Caenorhabditis elegans: one gene and its partners. The protein of the gene in region 3 purifies or fractionates together with the protein of the main gene of each other region. This does not show direct contact. Each region holds a gene or a part of one and is shown on either strand. Other genes may lie near its edges. The genes, in order: W04C9.6, pygl-1 and Y71G12B.13.

What was found.
Region 1: the proteins of Y71G12B.13 (region 3) and W04C9.6 fractionate together in Caenorhabditis elegans (co-fractionation; one large-scale study listed by BioGRID). This does not show direct contact.
Region 2: the proteins of Y71G12B.13 (region 3) and pygl-1 fractionate together in Caenorhabditis elegans (co-fractionation; one large-scale study listed by BioGRID). This does not show direct contact.

Annotation. Positions count from the first base shown.
Region 1 is NC_003279.8:481,832-491,455, reverse strand, and holds W04C9.6 (MFS domain-containing protein), read left to right. Parts: upstream 1-3,063; 5' UTR 3,064-3,465; coding exon 3,466-3,498; intron 3,499-3,553; coding exon 3,554-3,662; intron 3,663-3,728; coding exon 3,729-3,869; intron 3,870-4,606; coding exon 4,607-4,989; intron 4,990-5,836; coding exon 5,837-6,075; intron 6,076-6,179; coding exon 6,180-6,303; intron 6,304-6,453; coding exon 6,454-6,549; intron 6,550-6,597; coding exon 6,598-6,668; intron 6,669-7,146; coding exon 7,147-7,330; 3' UTR 7,331-7,417; downstream 7,418-9,624. Other genes in the region: haf-4 (ABC-type antigen peptide transporter), read right to left, coding at 1-106, 154-259, 1,254-1,405; W04C9.2 (MICOS complex subunit MIC13), read right to left, coding at 1,685-1,756, 2,512-2,574, 2,623-2,688, 2,733-2,840; W04C9.9 (Zinc finger protein), read left to right, coding at 7,576-7,586, 8,428-8,908, 9,357-9,416; cutl-13 (ZP domain-containing protein), read right to left, coding at 9,558-9,618.
Region 2 is NC_003283.11:3,575,764-3,586,828, forward strand, and holds pygl-1 (Alpha-1,4 glucan phosphorylase), read left to right. Parts: upstream 1-3,378; 5' UTR 3,379-3,404; coding exon 3,405-3,458; intron 3,459-5,623; exon of another isoform or gene 5,624-5,634; coding exon 5,635-6,315; intron 6,316-6,367; exon of another isoform or gene 6,368-6,439; intron 6,440-6,556; exon of another isoform or gene 6,557-6,628; intron 6,629-6,690; coding exon 6,691-6,912; intron 6,913-6,968; coding exon 6,969-7,525; intron 7,526-7,831; coding exon 7,832-8,789; intron 8,790-8,849; coding exon 8,850-9,026; 3' UTR 9,027-9,279; downstream 9,280-11,065. Other genes in the region: grl-27 (Ground-like domain-containing protein), read right to left, coding at 1-89; rpl-11.1 (Large ribosomal subunit protein uL5A), read right to left, coding at 9,606-9,845, 9,895-10,110, 10,161-10,295; T22F3.2 (Ubiquitin carboxyl-terminal hydrolase 36), read left to right, coding at 10,877-11,018.
Region 3 is NC_003279.8:1,700,169-1,709,249, forward strand, and holds Y71G12B.13 (RING-type domain-containing protein), read left to right. Parts: upstream 1-1,936; 5' UTR 1,937-1,954; coding exon 1,955-1,981; intron 1,982-2,403; coding exon 2,404-2,520; intron 2,521-3,793; coding exon 3,794-4,318; intron 4,319-5,492; coding exon 5,493-5,587; intron 5,588-5,629; coding exon 5,630-5,837; intron 5,838-7,167; coding exon 7,168-7,722; 3' UTR 7,723-8,385; downstream 8,386-9,081. Other genes in the region: ubc-3 (UBC core domain-containing protein), read left to right, coding at 510-619; lsm-6 (U6 snRNA-associated Sm-like protein LSm6), read left to right, coding at 1,204-1,316, 1,410-1,530.

The DNA of each region.
Region 1 (9,624 bases), 1.2 Mb from region 3:
CAGTGTCGCCGAAAGTGAGGAACTCATCGGGCTTCAGCTTTTCTGTGAGGAGGAGCAATTTTGTGGGGCTCGCCGCGCAGATGAGCAGTGCCGAGCAGAAAATTGGCTGAAAATTTGAAATTTTCGGGATTTCTAGGCCACGCGGCCACCGACCTCTTTCCACATTGTCAACGTGTCCGCCTTGTTGGCCACGTGGATTGCCGCCGGCACCATCCATAGTGCAAAACGGAAAAATTGCAGCAAGAATAGGTCGATTGTGCTGGAAAAATTGTTGGGTTTGGTGGTTTTTCTATTGGAAATTTGAATTTTTGACTTTTTTTTTACTGTCTTCTTTCGATGAATTGCTTCAAAAACGCGTACTTTTTCACGGGGTTCTGGCCTTCCTCATTGGATTTTTTGCGCTCCATTGACAATCACCTAGAGGACAACACGTGGGAAAGTCGTGTACTCCACACGGGCAAAAACATTTAGTTTTCCAACTAAAATCGCGTCGCGACACGCAACGCGCCGTAAATCTACCCCAGATATGGGCGAGCCAAAGTGGCCTAGTTCGGCAAACTCTTCCATTTCAATTTACGGGGGAGGCCAGAAATCCGTGTTTTTAAATTTCTCACTTTTTTTTCAAAATTTTACAGCAATTTCGCTCTACTGCACTCGTTCCACTGTCTCGCAGCGATTTTGGCTGGAAACTTCAAATTTTCATCAAAGTTTGAAAAGTGAAATTTTCTGGAAACCCGCTTTTTCATAAATCTTATTTTTAGCGTCAAAACTACGGTGCCCGGTCTCGACACGACAAGTTTTTGTTTTAATAAAAACGGGCGTGCGCCTTTAAAGAGTACTGTAAGTTCAAATTTTCGTTGCTTTGTTGAAAATACGCTTAGCAACTAAAGTTTGAAACTGCAGTACTCTTTAAAGGCGCACACCCGTTTTATTTAATGAAAATATGTCGTGTCGAGACCACCGAATATCGTTATTATAAGAAGTTATGGGAGAAATTCCAAAATTTTAGTTTCAACGTTGTGAGACCCAAGGACTGTGGAGCGTAGTTGCAAAAAATCATTAAAAATTTTTTTTTGCAACTGCGCTCCACTGTACTTGGGTCTCGTAACGTTAGTTTTTGGCGGGAATTCAAAATTTTTTGCAGTTTTCTATATTTTTACACACTGAAAATTAGAATTCCAGCGAAAATGACACTCGGCTTCAATTTTCATTTTTCGTGGCCTAAAATTAACTCGGCCACCAATCAATCGAACCTCGTAAAAAACGAAAAATCGCCAAATTGCGAAGTAAAATTCGCGAATTTGAAAGTTCCATCATGCAGGCAGGCGAACAGTAGGCACGCCAAAAAATCGATCGACGCCAGAATGAGTCCCCATGAGAAACGGGAAGCCACCGTCGAATTCATGGCAAAAAAAAGCAGGGAGAAGAAGTTGCGATGAATTGAGTTGGGCAGGCAGTGTGAGCTTATCAGTGAATTGATAATCAGTGGAGAAAATTGATCAACGATGGGAACTGATAAAATAATATAATGCACCGTCCGTTTAAAGTCAAAAATTGCAAATTTTTTCATAGAGCACACACACAAATACTTCTAGAAAATGAGGAGGGAAAAAGTACATTCTAACGAAGGAATACACGAGGATTCGGGGGGAAAATCGATAAATCGATAATTTTTATGGGGAATTTATTTATTATTGATGAGTCGATTGGCCACTGTGTTCACGCTTGATGGGACGTTCTCGATTGTGGTGAATACCTGAAAAAAATTGAGTTTGAAATTGTTGGAAATGCGCTCCACTGCACTAGCTTGGGTCTCGCAGCGAAATCGCGTAAATTTGAAATTCCGGTGAAAAAAAACGGCAATTTCAGGTATTTTCTATGCTTTTTGAGTGGGAACTTGGAGAAAAGTGCGATAGAGCGCGTTTGCATTATTTTCGGATAATGTTTGAATTTCCTACAATATTTCTGGTCTCGCAGCGAAATCGTCGGAATTTTGCTAATGTCTGTAATTTTCTACGCGAAATTTTGAAAAAAAAGTGCCATGGAGTGTGCTTGCATTTTTTTTAAAAACAATTTCAGAATTTTCTCTGAATTTTGGACTAAAAATTGCGTTTTGCATTATCTTTCCTACAAAACCAGAAGTTTAAGACTTTTCGAGTCAGAAATTGGAAAAAAGTGCGATGGAGCGTACTTGCATTTGGTTAATTTTTGACGTGGAATTTTTTTTGAATTTCGCTTTTTGTGAAAAAAAGTGTTTTGCATTATTTTCAGCAATTTTCTCCAAAATTTGTGTCTTTTTGTCATATTTTTCCTAGTTTTAGGCACTTTTTTCGACGTTTAGCTCTGAAATTTGACTAAAAATGACTGAAAATTTATATTTTTCAATTTTTCAGATAGATTTTTGAAATTATGGAATTTCTTGAACGTTCGGCGCCAAATCTCCATTTTCCAGGACTTTTTTCCAACTTTCGCAGCAATTTTTCCGTGTTTCCTCTCAAAAATGCAGCCTACCGAGTCAACAGCACTGTTCCACTTTCCACCGGCCTTCAGCTGCACATCTTCGACTGTTGGGAGCTGAAAATAAGAAAAAAATTGCATTTTCAGAGAAAAAATCGATAAAACCTGCTCTGGAAAGACGACGGTGCCGGGAAGAATGTACTTTTTAAGCTTTTGATACAGTTCGCTGCCCTGAAAATGAAAATTTTCGTGGAAAAACGGGGGAAAACTAATACTTTAACATTGTTAGTCGACCAAATATCGTTATCGATTGACAGTTTGACGGCGCCGGCGACGAGTCCAACTTTAATTCCGAGTTTTGCAGTTTTCCACAAGAATCCCATGTTGCCGACCTGAAAATTCGAATATTTTGTGTGAAAAATCAGTTATTTTGCAACAAGACGTGAAAAATAAATAAAAAATCACAAATTCAAGAAGAAAAGTTCAGAAAAACTGAAAAAAAATCGGAAAAATAAAATGAACGTCGCGCGCACGAGAAATGCGCAAGCAAATCGAGACTCGCGTCAGAGCACGAGAAACGCGCCAGCCTCGTCTGCGTTTCTCTTCTCACAATGCTCTCTCTCACTGAAATAAGCTTATAAGCTTAAAAGTCTGCAAATCTTTAATTTGGCGAGGGATAATCGAAAATTTAAGCTCACAGATGCCTAGAAAATTAAATTTTAAGTAGATTATATTAAAATTTCATAAAAATAATGATAATTAACGGTATTTATTAAAGTTTTAGATTTCATCAAATTTTCAGACTATACTATAGTCTTGCAATTTTCAAAGAATTTTTCCTGCAAAAAACAAGTACAAAGCATTGATCAAATTAACACTATCAAGTTGACAGTGTCAACGTTTAATCCCCCAGCAGTATTTCCCTTAAATTGATCACTGCACTTTTCGTTATCACCACGAGCATCATAAATTTTTTTACTTATTTAAAATTCCGGTTTCTGATGCACCATGGTCAACTCGCCGGTTCCTGTCCGATTTCTGGTACTTTTTGAACTCAAAACCCCCGGAAAATTGAATTTTCACGATTTTTTTGCAGATTTTAATATGTGCCACACTGTGTTTGACCTCGATTCTTTCAAATATGAATACTTATAATTTTACAAAAATTTGTATGCAAGATGATAATAGTACTTCAACTTCAAAAGGTTTTTTTTTTAATTCGGTGGCCGAGTTTTTCCATTGGCGGCCGCCAAAATAGTTGATTTTTTCAGTGAACTATACCAAATCAGAGTCGAATTTTCTTCAATCGTGTGTGGCTATTGGAAGTCTTGCCGCCTCGATTCCATTTTCCATTTCTTTTCAACATTTGCCGCATAAACCTGTCTTCATTGTCGCCGGAATTATTTCGGGAGGTATGACGTCAATCGTGGCCGCGAAAAAAAAAAATATCGGTGGCCGAGTTTTCTGTAGTTTTTATTTGTTTCGAGAAAACTGACTAATTTCTATAGACTAATTTTATAAAAACTGTGCATTTTGTCGTCAGATCCAGTGCATGCGTATTTTCAAAGCTACAGTACCCCAAAAAGCATGCATCGAAAGCATACAAAATTTTTGAAATTGATCGTCAAATATGGTGTATTGCACAGTGGGCGTTGAATTTGACGCGCAAAACAATAATCTGATTTTTCGAAACAAAAACATGGTGCATGAAGCACAAAAAATTGTGAAAAATTCCGCGTAAGCACGTGGTGTCAGGCTGTCCCATCACGGTTTGATCTACAAAAAATGCGGGAATTATTTGCCCGAAAATATGTGACGTCAGCACGTTCTTAACCATACGAAATCAGTTGAGAACTCTGCGTCTCTTCTCCCGCATTTTTTGTAGATCTACGTAGATCAAGCCTAAATGAGACACTCTGATACCACGTGCGTAAAATACTGAATTAAGTATTTAAGAATCATATTTTACGCGCAAAATAAAACAGATTTCACGAATTTTTCTGAAATTAAAAAAAAATTATCGATTTTTCAAAAATTATTGACATTTATTGTCCGAGAGGAGTACACCAAGCATCATTAGAGCGCGTTTCCATTTTTTAAATTTTAAAATTGCGCGTCAAATATGATGTATTGCACTCAATTTTTCCAGTTTCAACAGCCCTTATCCCGTTGGCAAGTACCATTGGCTACGGATGGTTTGTGGCCGCCCGTATTTGTCAAGGAATGGCATTTTCAGCCACATTTCCCCTCGCTGGCTCAATTACAGCAAATTGGGCGACCCCATACGAGCACGGAGTATTCATTGGCCTATTAACCGGAAATACACAACTTTCAAATATATTTACAATGCCAGTTTCGGGATGGTTATGCTCTTCGTCTGGTGGATGGACGTCGGTTTACTATGTGCACGCCGGTGTATCGTTGGTCACTTTTTCGCTGTTTTTCCTATTTTTCAAGTGCTCGCCGAGTGAGCACAGTTGGGTTGGCGAGAAGGAATTGGAGAGGATTCGAGAAGGGAAATCGGGAAAGAAAGTGAGTGCAAACGCGCTCTACCGGACACAAATTATAACTAGATTTTGGAGCGGAAAAAAACCTGAAATTGTACCACGTATCATTTTTGAGAAAAACGCGCCCGAAGGACTACGGAAAGCCCAAGCCTAAGCGCACGTGGTGCCTGGCTGTGCTATTACGGTTTGATCTACCAAAAATGCGGGAATTTTTGCCCCAAAAAATGTGACGTCAGCACACTCTTAACCATGCGAAATCAGTAGAAAACTCTGCGGCTCTTCCCCCGCATTTTTTGTAGATCTACGTAGATCAAGCCGAAATGAGGCACTCTGACACCACGTGTAAGCCTAAGCCTAAGCCTAGGCCTACGCCTAAGCCTATGCCTTAGCCTATGCCTAAACCTAGGACTGAATTAGTGGGTTCCTCGGGGTACGCAATTTGTCGACAATTAAGACGTTCCCTCATTAGTATGAGAAAATCCCAAATTTTTCTAAAACTGCTAGCAAGGTAAATGGGTTTCATGTACGCAAATTTGCTTCAACTTCAAGATTTTTTACATGAGAGTAACCGAGTTTTCAAAACCTCGGCCACCACATCGCATTGCATGGCCTAACTTTTCACGGGCTTCGAATTTCCCCCATGTTTTCAAATGGAAGAGGTGGCCGTGAAAAAAGCGAACCTCGACCGGGGGTCGCGACCTGCGACAAACAGGAAAACTCAAAAAAAGTAGCGACAGTACGAAATTTCTTTGAGTTTTCCCGTTTGTCGCGAGTCGCGACCCCCGGTCGAGGTTAGCTTTATTCACGGCCACCTCTTCCATTTGAAAACATGGGGGGGGAAATTCGAAGCCCGTTACTTTTTCGTTTTGCAGGTATCCCGGCCAAAAAATCTTCCATTCCGTCATATTCTGACAAGTTTAAGCCTGTGGGCTTGTTGGATCGCATCGTTTGGAGATTTGATAACAGTTCAATTGGTATCCCAATTCAATCCGCAATATATGAAAAATTATTTGAACTATGACGTACTTTCGTCCGGTTTTTTGGCCGCCTTACCCATTATTTTTCAATTTTTTACGAAATTATCGTCGGGAATTATTAGTGATTATATTAAGTGAGTTTTTCGGGGGTTTTTCCTGGAAAAATAATTTTATAATTGTGAAAAAAATCAGTGGCCGAGTTTTTCCTCTCTACGGCCACCAAAAATCAATATTCCAGATTCATCTCAGAAACTCTGAAAACTAAAATTTTCAACACAATCGCTCTGGCCGTGGCCGCCGTTTTTTTCATCGTTCTAGCATTTATTCCACAGGAAAAACACTTGCTGGCTATTATTATAATGGTGAGTGGGTGGTGGTGGTGGCCTAGATAGGAAAACTCTTCCAGTGGGACAAGTGCGCTCAATTGATAATCCACGTTGAAAATAACCGATTATCAACATAGCGCACATACATCCATGGCCTAGTTTTCCTATTCTCTTCCATCATTCCAGATTTGCGCCGAAAGTGTGATGGGGTGCAATACGGCGGGATTCAACAAGTGTGCCACGTTGCACTCCCAGCAGTACGCCTATTTCGCAATGCAGCAGGTAAGGGGGTGGCCGAGAAAATTTTTAGGCCAACGATTTCTCTTCCAGATCATGAACATCTGGGCTTGCACGATATTCATCGAACCGTTTTTCGTCAATATGATTGTTACTGATGATACGTGAGTTTTTAGGGTATTCATGTAGGCACGCAGGCATGAGGAATGCAGGCAGGCATAGGTAAACTTAAAGGCAGGCATGTAGGTATATACGGTCTAGAAAAAAAAACACGGTAAGCGTAGGTCACTTTGGAGGCAGGCAGGAAGGCATAGGCATAGATAACCTATGTGAGCTGGACCGGCGTAGATTCCCTAAAAGACTATCGAAAAGGCAGATAGCATTAAAAGCAGGTAGATAGGCACAGGGTACATTGGGGTAGACGTAGATAGCATGTAGGCTGACCTAGGCCACCTTGAAAGCAGGCAGTTGACCTACATAGTTTGTAAGGTAGGCATAGGCCTAGAAGGCACTGACAAAAATGCAGGCAAACCAGCATAGGTCTCACTTGAAGGTAGTCAAGTAGGTAGGCAAAGGTCCCCTGCAAGGCAGACGTAGGCAGGCAGGCGTAGGTCCCCTAAAAGACAAGATTATTTTTTTCAGATTCACAGACTGGCGTAATTGTTTCCTGGCGCATGCGGGCTTACTTCTCTTCGTAAATACTATATTCTGCCTGTTTGCCGACGCCTCGCCAGCAAAATGGACCAGATTACAAGATGATGACGTGGCAATTGAGGAGGAAAAAGAAGAATATTCTGGAAGTATTGAAGATATTATTAAGTTGTAAAAGTTGTACACTACTGTATAAATTGTAAAAGTGTTCCGAAGATTTTCGGCGCCCCAATAAAATTGAATGGCTTCTAGCTGAAGCTTACCTCCTCCCTATGAAATTTATGAAAAAAAATTTGCGGACATTTTTCTATTATTATTATTACGTAAATGCCCCAATTTCTACCACAAATTCTTATAGTTTTGCAGTTTTTTGTAAAAAATTCGGAATTTTGTATTGGTGGGAGCAAGTGTCAGAGCTCCATGTGCTATTCGTGAGTTTTTTTAAAATCTTGTCTAGAAAATACTGTAATTAACATAGAAATAGGGCATTTGAAACATGGCCTAGGAAAAACTATTGGTGGCCGAGTTTTTTTCCGTAGCTGTGAAAAGTGAAAAACGAAAAACCTCGGCCACCATTCAACTTTTTGGAGCATTTTTACAATTTGGAAAATTTAAATTTTGGTGGAATTTTCTAGGCCACGCAGTAGAATTCTAGGCCACTTGACGAATTCTGGATTAAAAATTGATTATAATTTTGATTTTGCAAAAATTGAGAAAAAAAAACCAGAAAAATAATTTTTAATTTTAAAATTTACTATCAATTGAGTTGTTTTTTTTAATTTTCGAAATGAGCAAATTTTCAAAAGCCTTGATTTTTCCTAGGCCACACTTGAGAATTCTCGGCCATCATAAAAATTTCAATCTTTTAGGCAGTGGTTGATATGATTTTTTTCACGGCTTTTAAAATAGGTTTTTATCCGTATAAATCCTTTATTTTGTAATCAAAACCACCAAAAAATATTTTTTTGAATTTTCTAGGCCACGCAGGAGAATTCTCGGCCACGTGGCACATTCCCAGCCATTCAATTCTGTAGAAATAATTAAAATTAAACTTTAACTCAAGATTAAAAAAAAGAAATTAGGCCATTTACGGAGCGTAGCGTGTCGCGTCGCGGCTCGGTTTTCAGTTGAAAACTAAATGTATTTGTCCGTGGGGAGTACACCACTTTTCCACGCGTCGTCCGGCAGGCGATTATCATCGGAGCGCGAAAAGTGCAATGAGGAAGGCCAGAAGCCCGTGTTATGAAAAAAAATTCAAAAAAAAAATTCCAGTCTCCCACCATCTCCACCATCTTACGTGATGGCTCCAATGATACGAATGGCTCCGGCACCCCCACCACCTCCAATGCCTCCGATGGTATTCCAAATGTCCCCGTCCCCTCAAATGTCCCCACAAATGTCCCCACAGATGTCCCAACAAAGGAATTACCCCCAACTCCAAATGATGGCTTCTCAGACTCCATCTATGGCTCCTCTGCCGCCTCCGATGCCTCCGATCGTTGGATCCTCCTCAGCGATCAGTTCAATACAGAACCTCCTGGAGAAGCAGCAAAATCAATATGAAACTGCACCAGAGACACCACGTTGGGACCGCCAGGAGCCCGAATATCAGCATATTGATGAGCAAGTTGTTGCTCCGGACGTTGTGGTGGCGGATACAGTAGATGAGAAGAGTACGAGCAGTGAAAAAGTGGAAAAAGTTCATGAGAATGAACGATTGGCGAGGATGGATCTGAAATATGAGGAACCTGAGGTAATCCTAAAGAAAAGAAAAAATGATGACGTCATTAATGGCCTAGATTTTTTTTTGGAAGAAAAATAATTTCTCCAGTGGCCTAGAAACCCGCTAGAGCAGGGTATGGAAGAGAAATGACGTCGCAGGCGATCTAGAAACCCAGCAGTGGAAAAATATCGACATCAGTGGCCTAGAAAACAGTTAGAATAATAAATGGAAAAGGAGTGACGTCACCAGTGGTCTAGAAAATTCCAAAACCCGTTTTTAAAGCATTTTGCATAATTGAGGCTTTAGCGCGTGATCATACTTTAAATTTTTTCGTTCCAGGTAAATAAAAGTCGATGACTGAGTTTTCCATTTTCTCGGCCACCAAGTTAAAAAAAATCGATAATTCTGCATCACACGAAAACATCGATTTTTCGAGAAAAATGCAATTGCGCTCCAATGATAACTAATCAATTTTCAGCCGGAACCATTCGACAACGGCACCGTTACATTCCACGCGTGGTTCCTTCGGAAAATGTGACTTTTAATGTTATTTTTAATTATTATTTATTGATTATTTATTGAACAAATTGTAAATAAATTGAATAAAAATAGGGAAAAAAAAAGAAAATGCAAGAATTATGGCACGTGGATGGGAAACGAATACTTTTAAACAAGAGTTTCAGTGTTTGCTTAGATAATATCCTTCTGGGACTGGAATCGGCATTTCACAGTCTTGAGTTCTGAAA
Region 2 (11,065 bases), on a different chromosome or scaffold from region 3:
CACCCACCTCCACCTCCCATGCCGAAGAGGCCTGGACATGCAGCAGTAATAGAGACGATGGCGAGAAGGATGAGAAGGGAGGATTGCATGATGTTCTAAGATCACTTGTTTCGATGTTTCGATGAATGATCCTTATATACCCCCAGCCAAGTGACGTCACACACCTTAATTACACTTGAGAACTTTGCAGAAAGTGAAGATTTTTCATAAACTAGCACCCTTTTTTGTCGCATTTTGATGATCGGATCATTTTTTGTTCTCAAAGTGATGTTCTGAAGGGCGTTGGTGTTTGGTTTGATGATTTGCGGAGGCTAAAGACATCCGGAACAAATCGGAGGGCTATAATTGCTGAAGAGGGCCCGCACGTGGCGACAGAGTGCCCCCCGTTTGATCTACGTCGATCTACGAGAATCGCGGGAATTTAGACGCAGACTTCTCAACTGATATTGCATGAAGTCGCATTTTTTTGGGCGAAAAATTTCCACATTTTTTGTAGATCAAACCATAAAGTGACTACCTGACACCACGTGGGCACGGATTTCTTGCTGGCCGCATAAATTGAAATGGAAGAGTTTGCCGAACTAGGCCATATTGGCTCGGCCATATCTGGCGGTAGATTTACGGTGCGTTGCGTGTCGCGTTGCGGCTCGATTTTAGTTGTAAAATGAAAAGTATTTGTCCGTGTGGAGTGCACGACTTTCCTATGCGTTGTCCAGTTGTCAATGGAGCGCGAAAAGTTCAATGAGGAAGGCCAGAGCCCCAGTGCTTCCTCACTGAACTTTTTGCGCTCCATTGACAATGGCCAACGCGCGGAAAAGTCGCATGTACTCCACACGGACAAATAAATTAAGTTTTACAACTAAAATCGAGCCGCGACGCGACACGCAGCGCACCGTGTGGCTGAGCTATATGGCCGAACCGAAATGGCCTAGTTCGGCAAACTCTTCTATTTCAAAATATGAGGGAGCCTAGAAATCCGTGTATAATTGAAGGAATAGGTTTTGTTTTGTGTCTACAAATGCCAGCTGCTGCCAACAAGAATTTGTTTTGGGAAACAATCGAATTCTAAGAAATTCAGTTAACATTTGTTTTGATTCTATCCTTCCTTATTTTTCAACCCGACTGGCAATGAGTTCCTTGCAAGAATATTGTCTCTATCTCTCCAATTTTCCAAATGTTCAAAATCCGAAACGTTCTTGTGTTGTTGGCAAGGACTGGCCTATACCTCCCACGCAATTACCGCCGTACTTGTATCATTTCACATATTAGGCGGTTACTGTATTCTGCTCAAGACCCCACCGCAAATGGCATCTTATCGATGGCCATTGTTTAATTTACATTTTTGGTGAGTTCTACAAAATTGAAAAAACTGTTTTTTTTTAAATTTCGCTCTAGGACATGTTTCGTGGATATTCTGCTCGGTGCGCTTGTGACCCCCTATTTATTTTTTTCCGGCTCTGGCTTGGTTCACAGTTGGGCTATTGAGCCTGCTGGGGGTGCCTGATTCTGTTCAAGTTGGCCTAGCATCCGTGTTTGTGTACTGTGAGCGACGAAAAGAAACAGCGAAATGTTCGCTTTTTTTTTTCTAAAAAAGGCAAAAAAATTGAGGATAGGCCGCGCTGCACACGAAAATGCAATCGCGCTCTAACGTCAAAGCTCCGCTCCTACAAGTTGGGTCTCGTTAGGTATCGGCGGTAAAACCGTAGTTTCAAAAAATTTCAACTATTTTCGTCGATTTCCAAACATGGTGTCAAGATGTTCCATAGCGACTTGATCTACAAAAAATAAGGGAAATTTTTCCACAGAAAAATTACCTCATCACACTCTAAACCATGCGAATTCAATTAAGAAATGTGCGTCTAAATTACCGAAGCGATTATTTTTTATTTCATAAAACTGTTCAGCATAATCAAATATACCAGAAAATACCAAACAACATACTCTAGCTTGTACGGAAGTTTATTTTAAAAAATTTCAAAACTTAACCAAAAGCTGTTATATTCAAAAATTCAAAAGTACGGTAAAATGGTATGGAGTCATTCTTTTTTATTTCATAAAACTGTTCAGCATAACTAAGTATACCAGAAAATACTAAACAACATGTTGTTAATTAAAAAAGACATTTTTTAGCAGTTTTTCTTCAGATTTTATTACGGACACACTAAATCCTGAGAATGCGTATTGCGCAACACATTTGACGCGCAAAATATCTCGTAGCGAAAACTACAGTAACTCTTTAAATGACTACTGTAATGCTTGTGTCGATTTACGGGTTTGATTGTGTCATCACTGTCACTGTTCGAAAATAAAATCATTTCGAAAATCGAGCCCGTAAATCGACACAAGCGCTACAGTAGTCATTCGAAGGATTACTGTAGTTTTCGCTACGAAATATTTTGCGCGTCAATTGTGCTGCGCAATACGCATTCTCAGGATGTAGTGTTCCAGAAATATCTAAAATATAAATTTATTTAAAAAAATAAATTTTTAGCAGTAAAATTGAATTTTTTTAATTGTATTAAACATTTTAATAATATTTTATTATTGAACTAGAGGTTGTTTCATGAAATAATTTGAAATAATTTTTTTTTTCAATTTTTTCGAAAAAAGGTAATTATTTTTGAATTTCTGACGATAATTTAGCGATTTCTGGCTTGAATCACCTTTTTCTTTCAAATTTTCAGACTTTTTTTCCGGAAAAAAAGTAAAATCATCGATTTTTACGCCAAATTTTTTTTTCTAGTGGTATTTTTTTTCTAGTGGTATCAATTTTCCTTCACGCAAAAAATATCTGAAAATTAGATGAACGGTGTTTTAAGTGTTTTAAATCGAAAAATCAAAACAAAAACAATTAATTTTGACAGAAAATGGGAAAAAGTCAAAACGTTTCATTTATTTGCGCAGGAATTCGAAATTAATTCATCCACTTTTCTTATATACTTGCAAAATTCTTTTTAAAAAATCATTAAAAAATTGAGATAAAAAGTTTTTTTTCAACAGTTATATTATGTTGTTACGGCCAATTTTCTATGCTTTGAAGCAAGTTTTCAATATAATTTGTTCTAAATTTGATCTTAAATGAATTTTCTTTAAAATAATCTGCAATTTTTAGGAAAAACTGTTTTTCAAGCAAGAAAAACTAAATTATTTATTTATTTTTAATTAAATTTAAATTCAAATCCGCTACGGCGAGTACGGTGCGCATCGGTGTTTGCGTACTCGCCTACCGTACCCTCGGTGTTGTTGGCGCGAAAATTTTGTTTTCCAATTTTCAATCATGGCGCCAATTTCTGCATTTTCGGTGCAATAAACCACTTGTTTTCGTCAATTTTTTGATTGTCTTCTCCAAATTTTTATCAGTCATTCTTCACTGTTCACCTTCGTAGCCGCCGGTGACACCGAAAATGTCGGATATTGCTGCTCGTTTTGGATTCTTCAACTGGAACAACGTGCGCCCGGTAAGTAATTCGCTGATTATTTCATGCTATCAAGCTTCTTCTTCATCATCTGCTTCATCTGCTTCATCTCTTCATAAGCCAGAAAATCATAAGAAAAAAAACAGCGAGCAGGCAGGGATTTAAGTGAGTGTGTGCGTGCAAAATGGGGAAACGGCCGGCTGAATCTTGCCGAAAAACACGTACGCTTCACTTCAGGCTTCTCCTTTTCGCTTCTCGCCGGCACACACACACACACACACACATGTCAGTCTACTTTTCCCGCCACTTTTCTTCAGCCCATCCTCTTCCTCTTCTATAGGACTTCGGCTCCCAGCTCTCGTTTCACTGGTCATTTCATTTCATAAGCGACGGTGAAAATTGGAATCTATCGAACCTATACGCCTCAAGAATCGTTCACCTTGCCCCCTCCAGCTCGTCGCGTTGTTTGTGCGGTGATTGGTCCTCACTGTACATATACAGTGTTCAAAAAACGGAAAAATACCCGTTTTGTTGTTCTGCTGCACCGCCCGTCTTCTCATTGATATCATAACAGGAGGCGGTGATGATAAGAAAGTCGGGAAATTAATATTAAAGCTTCTAGAAACAGATTTTTCCTCGCCAAAAAAAAAATAAAAAATCTCTTGATTTCTTGGTTTTTCAATTTTTCAATCTTCAATCTCGTCATCTTCTCGACAAAAAATTTGAATCTCCGCCTGCTTCTCTCTCTCTCTGTTTCCCTATCAGTGTCCGTCGGGGTCACACACAACATGTATTTTTCTCTACATCTCTGCTTCTCCCAGAGTTGTTTTCCTCTCCTCACATTTTACACACACGCTCACAAACCCCTTCGCATCCTCTCCCCATCCATTTTTTTTAGATGGCTCGGGCCTCTATGCTCTTTTTTCGATTCCACATAAGCGTGGCAGCTCCCCGAAAGTTTTCGGAACTTTTTTTCAAATTTTCTCAATTTCCAATGGCATCGATCATTCACGTGCACACACTCGTCTCAGTTGAAAAAGAATTGATAAATCGGCAGTGACAAGAATTGTTTATCAAACACAAAGCGGCCATGTCTACCGATAGTCTTTTCCATATTCGAACAGATTTCCGCAAGATTTTAATTAATTAATTCGAGTTGACAGCACAATCTTTGAAGATTCGGTTTTGCGACAATTAAATGCTTTTCTTTGACAAAATCATAAGTAGAAAAGCTTTAAAGTTCAAGCTTCAGGCTAAACAAAAAAGGCTGTGAGCAAAGAACAAAGTCTTCCGTAGCCCAGAAGAAAGTGCCCCTCACTTTCATTAATTTTTTTTTCGATTTTCTTGGGCCGACCGGGTGATAAAAATACACCGAAATATCCTGTCGTCGTCTACTGATTGTTGTTTTATTATCACTTACGCGTTATCAGTTTATCGGTAGTTTTCTGCATGTTGACTGACCGCCGACACGGTCAACACTGATATTATTCGACGTTTTAGCCTGATCAGTTTGAAGCGATGCATTTCACTCCTCAATGATCAGCGAAAATATTTTTTCTTCGATTTTTTTTTTGGTTCAAGGAGGAATGCTTGCTTGTATAGGATCAAAACTTCGCAGAAAATTACTAATTTTAGCTAAGATCCCCAGTTTTGCCAGCTTTTCCGTGTCGCAGTGCTCAGAGACTAACTTTTATTTGATTATCATCTTTTATTGCATATTTTCATCACTTATTTCGTTGATTGAGGCATTTTTGGTCCCTTATCGGCTTAAATGCACCTAGATCAATGAAAAAACGTTGGATAAATGCCCAATAAATGATGTTAATCAAATAAAAGCTAGTTTCTGCGAACTGCGACACGGAAAAGTTCGCAAAACTAAAGGTTTTTGCGGAAATTTGCGATTTTTTTGAAAAATATAGCAAATCCACGTGGCTTTCATACTTTTTTCAAAAATCTTTCATCTTGGAAATCACGGGGCCGGCCCCTGCTATCAATATTGATTGTTGACTGATCACTGAACTGCCCCCCTCCTGTTGACTTTGTACTGCGTCGACTACTATCTCGCAACACATTTTGTTTTCTGGCCTGACTCGCCATTGCCTGCAGTGTTCGAAATTTTTGTTTGTCCACCATTCTTATCACAGTAGCCGAACAAGTTATAATTTTCACCACTTTCCGCTCATTTTTTCTCCCAAAAAAACCAATTTCCAATTTTCAGCAGCCCGTGGTTGCCGAATCGACTGCCTCATCGTCGAGTCCGAAGCTGTTCAGCATGATCACCAACGATCACGATCGTCGCAAGCAGATCTCCGTGCGCGGAATCGCTCAAGTGGAGAACGTGTCGAACATCAAGAAGGCGTTCAATCGCCACCTTCACTTCTCGATCATCAAGGATCGTAACGTGGCCACCGATCGCGACTACTACTTCGCGCTCGCCAACACTGTCCGCGATCATCTCGTGTCTCGCTGGATACGAACTCAACAACACTACTATGACAAGGATCCGAAGCGGGTCTACTATCTGTCGTTGGAGTTCTACATGGGGCGAACGCTGTCGAACACAATGATGAACCTCGGAATTCAGGCGACCGTCGACGAGGCGCTCTACCAGCTCGGTCTAGACATTGAGGAGCTTCAGGAGATCGAAGAGGACGCCGGGCTCGGAAACGGAGGACTCGGACGTCTCGCCGCGTGTTTCCTCGACTCGATGGCCACGCTGGGTATTCCGGCTTACGGATACGGGCTTCGCTACGAGTACGGAATCTTCAAGCAACTTATTCGTGACGGATGGCAGATTGAGGAGCCAGACGATTGGCTTCGCTTCGGAAATCCATGGGAGAAGGCTCGTCCAGAGTACATGCTTCCGGTCAACTTTTATGGAAAAGTTGTGAAGGAGGATGTGAGTTTTGATTTTTTGGAGAAAATTAAATTTAAAAAAATAAAAAAGGAATGGGCCGAACTGGGGATTGAACCCGGGACCTCTCGCACCCAAAGCGAGAATCATACCACTAGACCATTCGGCCATGTTTGGAAATCGTGTTTGGAAGCAATCAAGATGCACAATAATCGATAATTGGCTGATTGCGAGAAATAATAAGATTCGATATCTCTTCATCACCAGCTTTCACGTATCTAATCGTGGCCGAATGGTCTAGTGGTATGATTCTCGCTTTGGGTGCGAGAGGTCCCGGGTTCAATCCCCGGTTCGGCCCATTCCTTTTTTCTTTTTTTCGCTTACTTTTTTTATTTTTCATTAAAAAATATATTATTTCAGGGAAAATCGAAATGGATCGACACTCAAGTTGTGTTTGCCATGCCATACGACACACCAGTCCCCGGATACAAGAACAACATCGTCAACACGCTTCGTTTGTGGTCCGCCAAAGCCGAAAATCATTTCCACCTCAAGTTCTTCAACGACGGAGACTACGTGCAGGCTGTGATGGATCGTAACTTGTCCGAGAACATCACTCGTGTCCTCTACCCGAATGACAACGTATGTTTGAGCTAGATTTTGGCAGAAAAAAAAAATCAATTTCCCCACATTTTCAGATGTTCCTCGGAAAGGAGCTCCGTCTCAAGCAGCAATACTTCCTCGTCGCCGCCACCCTCCAGGACATCATCCGCCGCTTCAAGTCCTCCATCTACGGAAACCGCGAGGCCGTCCGTGTCAACTTCGAGACCTTCCCGGATAAGGTGGCCATCCAGCTCAACGACACTCATCCATCGATCGGAATTCCCGAGTTGATCCGTCTCCTCATCGACGTCGAGGGACTCACCTGGGATCAGGCCTGGGACATTTGCATCAAGACCTACGCCTACACCAATCACACCTTGCTCCCAGAGGCCCTCGAGCGCTGGCCAGTGTCGCTTATGCAGAATTTGTTGCCGCGTCATTTGGAGATCATCTACGAGATCAATCAGAAGTTCATGAACACCATCTCGCAGAGATTCCCAGGAGATTTCGACCGTATGCGTCGTATGTCGATTGTCGAGGAGGCCGATCAGTTCGGCGAGAAGCGCATCAATATGGCTCATTTGTGCATTGTGGCTTCTCATGCCATTAATGGAGTCGCGGCTCTTCACTCGGATCTTCTCAAGAGCTCCACGTAAGCGAAAATGCTCTGAAACCTGGCGCTAGAACCAATGGGCGACGCATCATTTTGCAGCTCCGCCGCACGAATTTATTTTGGCTGTTTTTCGCATGATGTTTTGAAAGATTTCGATATGTGAACTCGATAAAATCACGAAAAATTGATAATTTGTCATTGAAAATTCGGACAGAAAGAGAAAAAACATCGTGCGGCGGTGTTGCTAAATCGCGCGCCGCAAATTGCAATCCCGGCCCGCCCAATTTTTCTTACGCGCAAATTGCAAAATTACCATTTTAAAAAATTAATATCATCCATTTCCAGCTTCCGTGACTTCTATGAGTTCTACCCGGATCGCTTCCAAAACAAGACGAACGGAATCACACCACGCCGCTGGCTTCTTCTCTCCAACCCATCTCTCGCCGACCTCATCGTCGAGAAGATCGGCGAGTCGTGGATCACCAATCTCGACGAGCTTCAGAAGCTCAAGGAGTACGCCAACGATGCCGGGTTCCTCGATTCGATTCGTCGTGTGAAGCTCGAGAACAAGCAACAAGTCGCCCAGTATTTGAGCGACGAGTACAATGTCAACGTGAACGCCGCTTCGTTGTTCGATGTGCATGTGAAGAGAATCCACGAGTACAAGAGACAGCTTCTCAATATTCTCCACGTCATTGCTCTCTACAATCGTATCAAGGAGAACCCGAACATCGATATGGTTAAGCGTACCGTGTTGTACGGAGGAAAAGCTGCTCCAGGATACCATATGGCTAAGCAGATCATTCGTTTGATCACCGCCGTCGCCGAACAAGTCAACAATGATGCCATCGTTGGTGATCGTTTGAAGGTCATCTTCCTCGAGAACTACCGTGTCTCGATGGCTGAAAAGATCATTCCAGCTTCTGATCTCTCTGAACAGATCTCGACCGCCGGAACCGAGGCTTCAGGAACCGGAAACATGAAGTTCATGTTGAACGGAGCTCTCACAATCGGAACTCTCGACGGAGCCAACGTTGAGATGGCCGAGGAGATGGGCGACGAGAACATCTTCATCTTCGGAATGAACGTCGAGGAGGTTGAGGCGCTCACAAAGCGCGGATACTCTTCGCAGGAGTTCATCGACAAGAGCCCAATGCTCAAGCAGATCATCGAGCAAATCGAAGGTGGCATGTTCACTCCAGAAGATCCAGATCAGCTCAAGGATCTCTCCAACATGCTCCGCTATCATGATCGTTTCATGGTGTGCGCCGATTTCGACGCTTTCATTGAAGCCCAGGATAAGGTAAAACTCAAAAAATTCAACTAATTCAAATTTTTACTGATCAAAATAAATTATTTTCAGGTCTCCGCTACATTCCGCGACCAAGAGAAGTGGTCTCGCATGGCCCTCTACAACATCGCCTCGACCGGAAAGTTCTCAACAGATCGCACAATCACCGAATACGCTCGTGAAATCTGGGGAATCGACCAGTTCGAGAGCTCTCTTCCAGCACCATATGAGAATGAGAAGAGCGAATAATTCTTCTATGCACTAACATTGTAATTAATTATCGCCATAACTTCCCCTCCTCTCCGTCCCATTTAGTTTATAGCATTTTTATAGAAGCCTTTCCCTCCCCCGATAATTCTTGTGAATCTTCAAGATCAAATTGATTTTGTCCTCTCTGCCCCCAGTCCAATAATCGTACTTCCCCCGAATGTGTTGCCATACTTTGAGATTGTCTATTTGCACGTCTGCCCTGCATATTTATGATAAATTGACTGAAAATATCAACTTTTTTTTTTTAATTTTGACTCGAATCTGCAAATGCTGAAATTTAATTAAAAATTATGGCTGTCTGAAGGATCTTCAAAGAAGTTTCGATACCTCTACGACCAGCTCGTTAGCAAAATACCAAACTCCTTTTCGATGAGTTTTCAAAATTCCTGGATAAATATCCTGAACTTTCTACATCAGAAGACCATTCGCAACGTAAAATTATTGATTCCAGGAAGTTGAAGTTCAGATCCACGACAATCAGACTATGATTCACAACTTTAACAAAACATTAGCAATTTCATTTTTAATAACAACAGTTTATTCAGAAAATAGAAAAACTTAACGACGACGGAAGAAGTTCTTCTTGACCTTTGGCTTTGGTGGCAGAATGATTCCATCGTACTTTTGCTGGAACCATTTGATTGTCTCCTCCTTATCGACACGGTGGGATGGTCCAATGCGTCCTGGTGCACGTCTGCGCTTGGAAACTCGAACTCCGTTGCGGTTCAGAACGACGTAGAAGTCCATTCCGTAGATTCCAATTCCTGGGTCGTACTTGATTCCGAGATCAATGTGCTCCTGGAAACAAAATAATCATCACTTTTGAACACTTCAACTTTAAGCTAACCTGAACTCCGAAACCGAAGTTTCCAGTGTCAGAGAAGTTCTCTTTGAAAAGCTCGTATTCCTTGACCTTGAGTCCCTTCTCGAGGATTTCCTCAGCCTTTGGTCCACGAACGGTGCAATGAACAGCAATCTTTTCGTTTCTGCGAATTCCGAAAGTTCTGACGGTGTATCGGGCCTTGGAGAACACTGGGGTTTGTCCGGTGAGCTGCTCGAGCACCTGAAAATATTTCGAAAATTTACGAATTACTGTAGAATATATTGGAATACCTTAGCGGCACGGGTGAGACGATCTCCAGACTCTCCAACACAAATGTTGAGACAGAGCTTTTGGATCTTGAGCTCGCGCATCACATTGCGGCCCTTCTTCTCGCGAATTTCCGTCTGTTTTTCGACGTCCGTCATGATTACCTGAAAAAAAGCATAAATACATAAAATTTGAAAACTGTGACAAGCGAGAACAAGTAGAGAGAAACGCATAGACACAAGTTCAAAAATGCCGATAAAAAATTAGCATCTTGAGATCCTAGAAAGATATTCAAATTTTAGGCCTAAAACAACGAAAATGGGAGGAGCGACGCGCACACACACACACACACACCGGCATGCGCTGAAGAGACGGCAGAGAAAACGGGCAAGCGATAGAACAGCACAAACGGGTGACAGAGACGGCGAAACAACGACAAACCACTCTCATTTTGTGAGGAAAACTCGAAAAATCAGAAAAAAAAACCTCGAATTAAAATGATTTTCGGCCCGATTTAGGATTCGAGGGTACGGTTTTGTTTTCGTGCCGAGATATCGTGGTCCCGAAAATGGTGTGTGCCTTTAATTTTCGAATTTAATTATTTAATTCAGCTTTTTTCCGATTTTCGCTCTTTTTTTTTGAAGTTTTCCTTGAATTTTCTTGATTTTTTCTATATTTTCTTGAAATTTCTTCTTTTGAATTGAATTTCTAATTTTTTTTCAACGTTTTTTGTTACAGAATGACAGTAAATGAGGGTTGGGATTCGTTCAAAACGAACAGATGGATTAATTTCGATACTATTCCATCATCCTCCTCACAAAATCGTCCTGCACCCCGAGCTCCTGAAATTGAAGTTAATAGAAAAACGCCTGATTCACCATGTAAGCTTTGGAAAATTTGCGAATAATCTGATTAATTTTGTTTTTTG
Region 3 (9,081 bases):
ATATTTTGCGTTTTTTGCACTAAAACTGGCTATTTTTGGTAAAATTCAAAAATTGTCAGTTTTTAGTCGAAATATCCGCAAAATTATACACTTTTTTCAAAAAAAATTGCCGATTTTTCAGGTAAATTGCCAGAAATCGCACGAATTCACGGATTTCTGGCTTCCCTTATAAATTGAAATGGAAGAGTTTTTGCCGAACTAGTCCAGGCCACCATATCTGGGGTAGATTTACGGCGCGTTGCGTGTCGCGCCGCGGCTCGATTTTAGTTGTAAAACTAAATGTATTTGTCCGTGTGGAGTACACGACTTTCCCACACGTTTTCCGGCGGGCGATTGTCAATGGAGCGCGAAAAATTCAATGAGGAAGGTCAGAACCCCGTGACCTCAAAAACCTCAAAAAAAAGTCTATTTTTCGCAAATTTAGTTGTAAAATTCCCGAGAAAATTGGATTTTTCAGTTAAAAACCCGGATTTTTGCCAAATTTTCAATTAAATATCGATTTTTTTCAGACGACGATTTCGGGTGTGACTATGACGACGATGAAGAGGAGGAGGACGAGGACGAATGCGGCTCGGACTATAATGATGATGACGAGGATTCGGGACAAGGAGAAAATTAGTCAATTTTTTTTAATTTTCTATAATTTTTTCCCCATTTTTTTTCTCAATTTTCTCAATTTTCCAACCTAGAAAAATTCAAATTCATATCAAATATACCACGAAATCTTGGCGCTTCTTTCAAACAAAAAATCTTCAAAATCCGACTCAACTAGTCCTTTTCTCAATGCATTTATATGTACACTTTTGCCCTTCCCAAGCAGCTATCAATTCATATTTGTGTTATACTCAATATTTTTTCGTCTGGAAACAGTTTTTTTTGTCCAATTACACACACACACAGGCTGATCACAGTGCACTTTCAACTATTTTTGTTTTCTATAAATGAAGCCTTCTTTTTTCTAAATTGTCTCGGAAAATTGCAGATTTAGAGTTGAATTCTCAAAAAATAAGTCGATTTAATCCGAAAAAAACATTTTTTTCGCAAGTCTGCATTTTTGCGTCACGGTGTTTGCGGACACTGTAGAAAATAATTTTTTTTGAAGCAAAATCGCAATTTTAACGCATTTTTCTCTTGATTTTAACATATTTTTACTCTAAAAACCCGTGAAAGTAATATTTTTTCTCAATTTCAGCACTCTAGAAAATGAGCAAACGACAGAATCCCGCCGAATTCCTGAAGAAAGTCATCGGAAAGCCGGTTGTGGTGAAGCTCAACTCTGGCGTCGACTACCGTGGCATTCTCGCATGTCTCGACGGGTTAGTGATTGGGAAAAATCAAAAAATCTGATTAAAAACACCTGAAAATTAATTTTTCTTCCAGAAAAATTACGAAAAAATCTAATTTTTCAGATATATGAACATCGCGCTCGAACAAACCGAAGAATACAGCAACGGACAACTTCAGAACAAGTACGGCGATGCGTTCATCCGCGGGAACAATGTGCTCTACATCTCCACATCGACGAAATAACTTTTTTTTGATTTCGATTTATTTTCCAAATATTTTTCCCTTTTTTGAGCTATTTTGAGCAAATTTCTTGTTTGATACGTTTGGATCTCGAATAAATTTGTGTTTTTTTTTTCGCCGAAAATCTGAGTTATTTCGCTCGAAAACAGGCTTTTTCAGCAAAAATCGAGAAATTTCTTGGGTTTCCTCACCGTTAGACGCGTCGCGGTCATGCGTCACGTGCGGTGGGTCTCACCACGATTCGATTTACGGGGAAGCATTTTCGAAAAAAAGAAGACATTTTTAAGTCAATTTATCGCGTTTTCATCGATTTTTCGAGCTTTTCCGGTGATTTTTTCGATTTTTCAACTCAAATTTCGAATTCTACGTATTTTTGTGCCACTTTCACTGCAACAATCGCAATTTTCAGACAATTTTCAAAAGGATAATGCCACCCGGACCACTTCCCGCCTTAGTAAGTTGATTTTTTTTTTGATTTAAAAACTGATTAACTTTTGCTCTCCGAGTGGTAAGTGATAATTTGTAATGATATGCGATCACACTAAGGCTAAACCGCCTTGCGATGATCTTTCCACCCGCACTGGAAAAGGAGAATTAGGCGGTTTTCTGCCGCCCGATATGTGATCGCACATTTCAAATGATACCATTCAAAAACTATACCTAATTTCATAGTGAAAAGACCAAAAGAAGATAAAGAAGAGCAAGAGAGAGAGAGACGTCGCACGAAATCCATCAGTCTTCTGTCCCCCCATCGATTTTCCGAAAATTGAAAAAAAAACAGTTAGTTTCAAAGTTTGAGCGTTTGTGTGCTCATTTTGTGCTCGTTTCTAGCCTTAAAATTTCGAATTTTCCATCAAAAAACTCATTTAATTTCAGATGAAAAGCGAATGGCTCAAGTGTCCGCGATGTAAGACGAAACAGCTCAAGCCAGAGCTCATCAGCACCGAACCCAATGGATCCGATAATATTTGGTGGATATGTGAGGCTGTTCAGGTAGAAATTCATGAAAAACTGAATTTATATTGGGAAACCAGGCAAAAATCGAGCTAAAAATCGAATTTCAGGTTGTTTTGGCTCGTATGAACGGAGAAAATCAGCTTTTCATAGCAATTTAACTGAAAATTATTGTTTTTTATATCAATTTTCGGTGAATTTCCGATGTTTTCGACGATTTCTCCCCTCAATCACTGGATTTTCACAAAATTAACTAAAAAATTCCGGTTTTATTGAATTTCAAGTTCAAAACTTGAAAATTCTGTGGGGAAATTGCTTTAAAACATGCCTATGGTACCACAATGACCAAATATCATAGTAAATTTTTTTTTTAATTTAGAACATTAAAAAAAATTTTACTATGATATTTGGTCATTGTGGTACCATAGGTATGTTTTAAAGCAATGTCTCCTCAGAATTTTCAAATTTTGAACTTGAAATTCAACAAAACGGACAATTTTTAGTTAATTTTGTGAAAATCGAGTAATTTTGAGGCGGAAAAATCGTCGAAATCATCGGAAGTTCACCGGAAATTGATTTTAAAAAACATTAATTTTCAGTAATATTTCATAATCACGCTCTCCTCAAAGCCGGAGAATTATTAGAGCGCGCTTGCTGCGCTTCGCATTTCTGCATCCGCGGTAATTTGACTTTCCACTGAAAAAAGCAGATATTTCAGATTTATCGAATTTTTAGCTTTTAAAATTTTTTAAATGCATCTTTCGAACAAACCTTTTGTTAAACAGTGAAAATCGAAAAATGACTAAAATGAAATTTTTCGTCCACTGGTTGTGAAATGGTTTGAATTTGAAGAAATCAATGGGATTTTTCTTATTTTCTAAATATTTTTCTATTAAAAATCGGTTTTAACCCATTTTTTTGACCCTAAAAGTCACAAATGTTTTAAAACCGATTTTAATAGAAAAATATTTAGAAAATAAGAAAAATCCCGTTAATTTTTTCAAATTCAAACCATTTCACAGCCAGTGGACGAAAAAAGTTCATTTTAGTCATTTTAAATTCGATTTTCACTGTTTAACAAAAGGTTTGTTCGAAAACTGGAGAAAAATTTTTTTTAAAGCTAGAAAATTCGATAAATCTGAAATATCTGCTTTTTCAGTGGAAAGTCAAAATACCGCGGATTCAGAAATGCGAAGCGCAGCAAGCGCGCTCTAATAATTATTCGGCTTTGAGGAGAGCGTGCATAATTACGACTTTTTTAAAAACTAAAACTGCCGATTTTAATCATTTTTTATTTATTTTTTATTTGCAGAAATGTCAATTCCCAATGGATATGCCTCCACACGTCTATCATGTCGTCCAAACTGCCTTCCAAAAGCGTCAAAAATGCATTCCCCTGCCACGCATTGAGAAGCTTCCCGAGAAATATCAATATCTGTATCCCCTGACGTTCGCCAACTCTCGACCGGTCTCCCGTTGCTCATCAGTGGCTGGAAATTCTGAAAATTCTGAAAATCGAGCCGCCAGAAACTCGTTGGACGGGACGACGACGACGACGACTACGATTTCTGAGAAATCCAGTGGTCAGAATAGGCTAAAAGCTGAAAGTCTTCATTCCGAAACTGTTAATAATACAAATACCCCTTCAACGTCTTGCTCGGCAGAAGCTGAGCTTGAAAATCAGAGTATTGATGATGTGGAAATTGAAGAAGAAGAGGCCGTCAGGCCGTGTAGGACTATTAAGCGACGGCTTAATGATTCTGGAAAATCGTGGGCTTCGTTGATAGAAAAAGTTGCGGCCGACTCGAAAGCGTCGAATACTATTATAAATATGGAGGTGAAAATTTGGAACTTTTGAGCTGAAAAAAATTTGAGTTTTCCCGAATTTTTAAGCGGAAATTTGAATTTTCCTGGATTTTTAAACGGAAATTTGATTATTTCCGAATTTTTTAGCGAAAATTTGAATTTTCCCGACTTTTTAGTTGAAATTTAAACTTTCCCAAAGTTTTAAACGGAAATTTGAATTTTCCCGAACTTTTTAACGAAAATTTGAATTTTCCCGAATTTTTAAATCTAAATTTGATTTTTCTCGAATTTTTAAAAGGAAATCTGAATTTTCCCGAATTTTTAAGCGAAAAATTGAATTTTTCCGATTTTTAAGCGAAAATTTAAATTTTCCGAAATTTTTAATCGATAATTTGAATTTTCCCGAATTTTTTAGTGAAAACTTGAATTTTCCTGGATTTTTCATCGATAATTTGAATTTTCTCGAAGTTTTCAACGGAAATCTGAATTTTCCCGAACTTTTTAACGAAAATTTGAATTTACCCGAGTTTTTAAGCGAAAAGTTGAGTTTTTTTCGAATTTTTAAGCGGAAATTTGAATTTTCTCGAAGTTTTCAACGGAAATTTGAATTTTCTCGAAATGTTTACCAAAAGACTGAATTTTCCCGAATTTTTTAGTGAAAATTTGAATTTTCCTGGATTTTTAGTTGAAAATTCGAATTTTCTCGAAGTTTTCAACGGAAATCTGCGTTTTCCCGATTTTTTAGCAAAAATTTGACTTTTCCCGAACTTTTTAAAGAAAATTTGAATTTTCCCGAATTTTTTAGTGAAAATTTGAGTTTTTCCGAGTTTTTTTAGCAAAAATTTGAAATTTCCCGAATTTTTTAGTGAAAATTTCAGTTTTGCCGAATTTTGGAATGAAAATTTGAATTTCTTCAAAGTTTCCCGTATTTTTGAGCGAAAATTTGAATTTTCCCGATTTTTTTACTGGAAATTTGAATTTTCCCGAATTTTTAGTGAAAATTACACTTTTCCTGGATTTTTAATCGATAATTCGAATTTTCTCGAATTTTTAAACGGAAATTTCGATAATCAAAAAATTGGAAGAAAAAAAAATCGCGATTTTCTGGGTTTTCTGGGTGAAATCCTTCGAATTTTTGCTCAATACTGCGAAAAAAACGCAAAAATTTTCATTAACATCTCCCAAAAATCGATTTTTTTTTTCAGGAATCCGAATTATTCCGTCGTATGCAGGAGTTTTTCGATGCTCACTACTTCCAGCGTACTCCGATGACCTATAAGCGTTCAAGAGCGGCTTTACGGTTGGAAATGCTCAACAAATGGCAAAAAATCGATAATTTTAGACTTCCCTATCGGATAGAAGACATTGAAAATTGTCTACAATCAATAACTCGTGAAGATTGGAAAACTGCCCGACGTCGAATGATTAATTTCACTGTAGAAGAGAAAATGGTGGCGAGAAGTGGAAATGCGGATGAGTTGCTGAAAAGTGTTGGAATTGATTTGCAACAAATTAAGAAAGCTGTCGGAGAGAAAGTTGGCAATGTTATGGTACGGATTGAAGAAGAGGAAAAATGACGAAAATCATGGAAATTTTTGAAAAATTTGGCCGAAAAAACGAAGAAAAACCTAGAAATTTGATTATCCTGCGAAGATTTTGCAAAATTTTAAAAAATTTGGCATAAAAAAACAAAAAAATTCGATAAAAACCCAAAAATTTGATTTTCCTGCGACGATTTTGCAAAACTTTACACAAATTAGCCAAAATTCAAAAATTCGCAGAATCTACATGAAAAAATAATTTTTTTTCTCGAAAAAATTGCTTTAAAACGCGCCTATGGGGTCATAATGACCGAATAGCATGGTAAAACAAATGCAAAAAAATTTTCTAAATTTTTTATGATATTTGAAAATTGAAAAAATCACAGTTTTCCCCCTAATTCCGATTCGAATTTCCGCTAATTGAATTTGTTCGATGGAGTGTGCTTGCATTATTTTCATTAATTTTTTAAAAATTTATTTTCATTATTTCACTGATTTTCTTCATTTTTTGGGCGTTTTTAATCGGAAAATGAAAGAAACATACGGGAAAAATGCAAAATGTTTATTAAAAAGTAACTGAAAATGCCTAAAACTCTGAAATTATACGATCCGACGATGACGAGCCTGAAATAAGTATTATTCACAGTTTTAGGCATTTTCAGTTACTTTTTAATAAACATTTTGCATTTTTCCTGTATGTTTCTTTCATTTTCCGATTAAAAACACCCAAAAAATGAAGAAAATCAGTGAAATAATGAAAATAAATTTTAAAAAATTAATGAAAACAATGCAAGCGCGCTCCAACGAACGAGTTCAATTGGCGGAAATTCAAATAGGAATTAGGGGGAAAACTGAGATTTTTTCAATTTTCAAAAATCATATAAAATTTAGAAAAAAAAATTTTTTTTGAATTTTTTTATTATGATATATTCGGTTATTGTGGTATCATAAGCATGCTTTAAAGCAATTTCAAAAAAATCAAATTTTAAATTTAATTTCCGAAATTTATGGGTTTCTGTTTTCAGACATTTTTCTCGAAATTCGCTGAAAAATACAAAAAATGCCGATTTTTCCTAAAATTACGCAGTTTTCGATTTTTTTTACAAAATTGCCAATTTTCCTACAAAATATTTGAATTTTTCCGATCTTTTAGTCAAAAAAAGTCGAATTTTCCAATTTTTTTTTCCACAAAAATTTGATTTTTTCCGATTTTTTACACAGAACAACTTGAATTTTTCTTTTTTATTTTCATTTCGGTCCAAATTTTGCTGCGCGTAAATAATATTTTTTTGATTAATAAAATAAATAAAAAAAAGACGCTAATTTCCTCATTTTTCAGCGCAACTTCAGCCTGGCAAGCCTGGCGAAGCGTCGAAAAATCGAAGAGGATCGTAAAATCTCGGAGAAACTGAAAGCGGAAACCCGTAAGCAGACGATTCATCAATCGGTTTCTGCGAGAATTCTGAACAAGAAGCTTCGACGTGACGAGGAAACGGCAAGATCCTTGACGAGTACACCATCTCCGGCTCCAGCTCCAGCTTCTCAATTCCAGCAGGAGCCGGAGCCTGTGCAATTCCATGTGGGAAATTATGACGAAGAGCCGGAGTACCAGGAGCACCAGGAGCCAGATGCTCATTGGGGCTTTGAATTTGACGATCTCTACGAGAGAATTGATGCTCAGAATCATCAGGCGGCACCACTGGATCCGGCTGATCCACTGGAGGCGATGCTTCTCGGATTGGAAGAAGCTCCGATTATGGAGCAACACCTCGATTTTGAGCCCCAAGAGCATTCGGGTGATGAAGCGGAGCCTGAGAATGATGATGATGATGTTTTTACGGGTTTTAATGTTCAGGAGAACTCGGAATTTGTTAATGATAATTTTGATTTTTAATTCTTCTCGTTTTTTCCCCCGCTTTTTTACTTGAAAATTGGAATTTTTAGATGGAAATTGGCAAAATAGCGGATTTTTAGCAAAATTTTCCCCTGAAAAAAATAAATTCCCTGAAAAATTTAAAAAAAAAACCGATTTGCCGGAAATTTTCAATTCCGGCAAATTACCGATTTGCCGGAAATTTTCCATTCCGGCAAATCGGCAATTTTTCTGTTTGCGGGAATTTTTCAATTCCGGCAATGTTCCGGTTTGCCGGAATTTTTCAATTCCGGCAATGTGCCGGTTTGCCAAATTGCCGGAAATTTTCCATTCCGGCAAAGTGCCAATTTGCCGGAAAAAATCGTTTGCCGAACGTTTCAACAGTTTTTAATTAATTAAATTTCCCGCCGACAAATTAGGTCTTCTCAGAAAATTTGAAATTCCCGCCAAAATATTCGATTTAAAAAATTTCAATTTTTCTTGAAAAATTGTGAATTAGGAATATTTTTTTCCATCCTTTTCCTCTTGAAATTCCACTTTTTCCCCCTCGATTTCTCAATTTTTCCCCATTTTTTTTGCAAAAAGTTCCTTAATGCTGGTACCTTTTTTTAATGATCATTTTTTGTCTGCCTCTTTCTTTTTTTTTTTTAATTGTAATTTTTTGTTTTGTTGAAAAAACCTCCCTCACCAAATCCCAATGAATTTCTTTTGTTTTTATTAATTTTTTTTTCCGGTTTTTTGAGCACTTTTGGAAGTTGTAAATTTCAATTTGAAAATATCTATGAAATTGTCGATTTTTCTGAATCAATTTTGAAGAAAATTTCAGAGAAATCTCCAATTTTTGGATTTTTAAAAATTAAAAAACCGAATTTGGGACTTTTTTTTTTGAAAAATCTGTATTTTTTTCTCATTTTTTTTCCGGCAAAGCGGCAAATTTTCGGACTTGAAAACTTCCGGCAAACCGCCTGATTGCCTGAAATTCGATTTTTTCTTAATTTTCGAACTTTTCACGTTTTTTTTTAAATAAGAAATCTGAATTTTACCACATTTTGAAAAAAAAAACCGAATTTTTTTAGAAATTTTTTTTTCAAAAAAAAACATTTTTAATTAAAAAAATTCAGAGAAATTGCCAAATTTTGTCCTTTTTTAAAACGTTAAAAAATCAAAATTGGAACTTTTTTTTTCTCGAAAAATCCAGTTTTATTTATTTTTTAATTTTTTTTAATCCGAATTTTTCCACCCAAAAATTGTGAATTTTGACTTGCTCATTTTTGTGGAAAAACGTTCAAATTCTGACATGAAAGACAGAAAAAAAAAGTTCCAACTTCGATTTTTTAACGTTTTAATTTTTAATTAAAAATGTTTTTTTTTGAAAAAAAA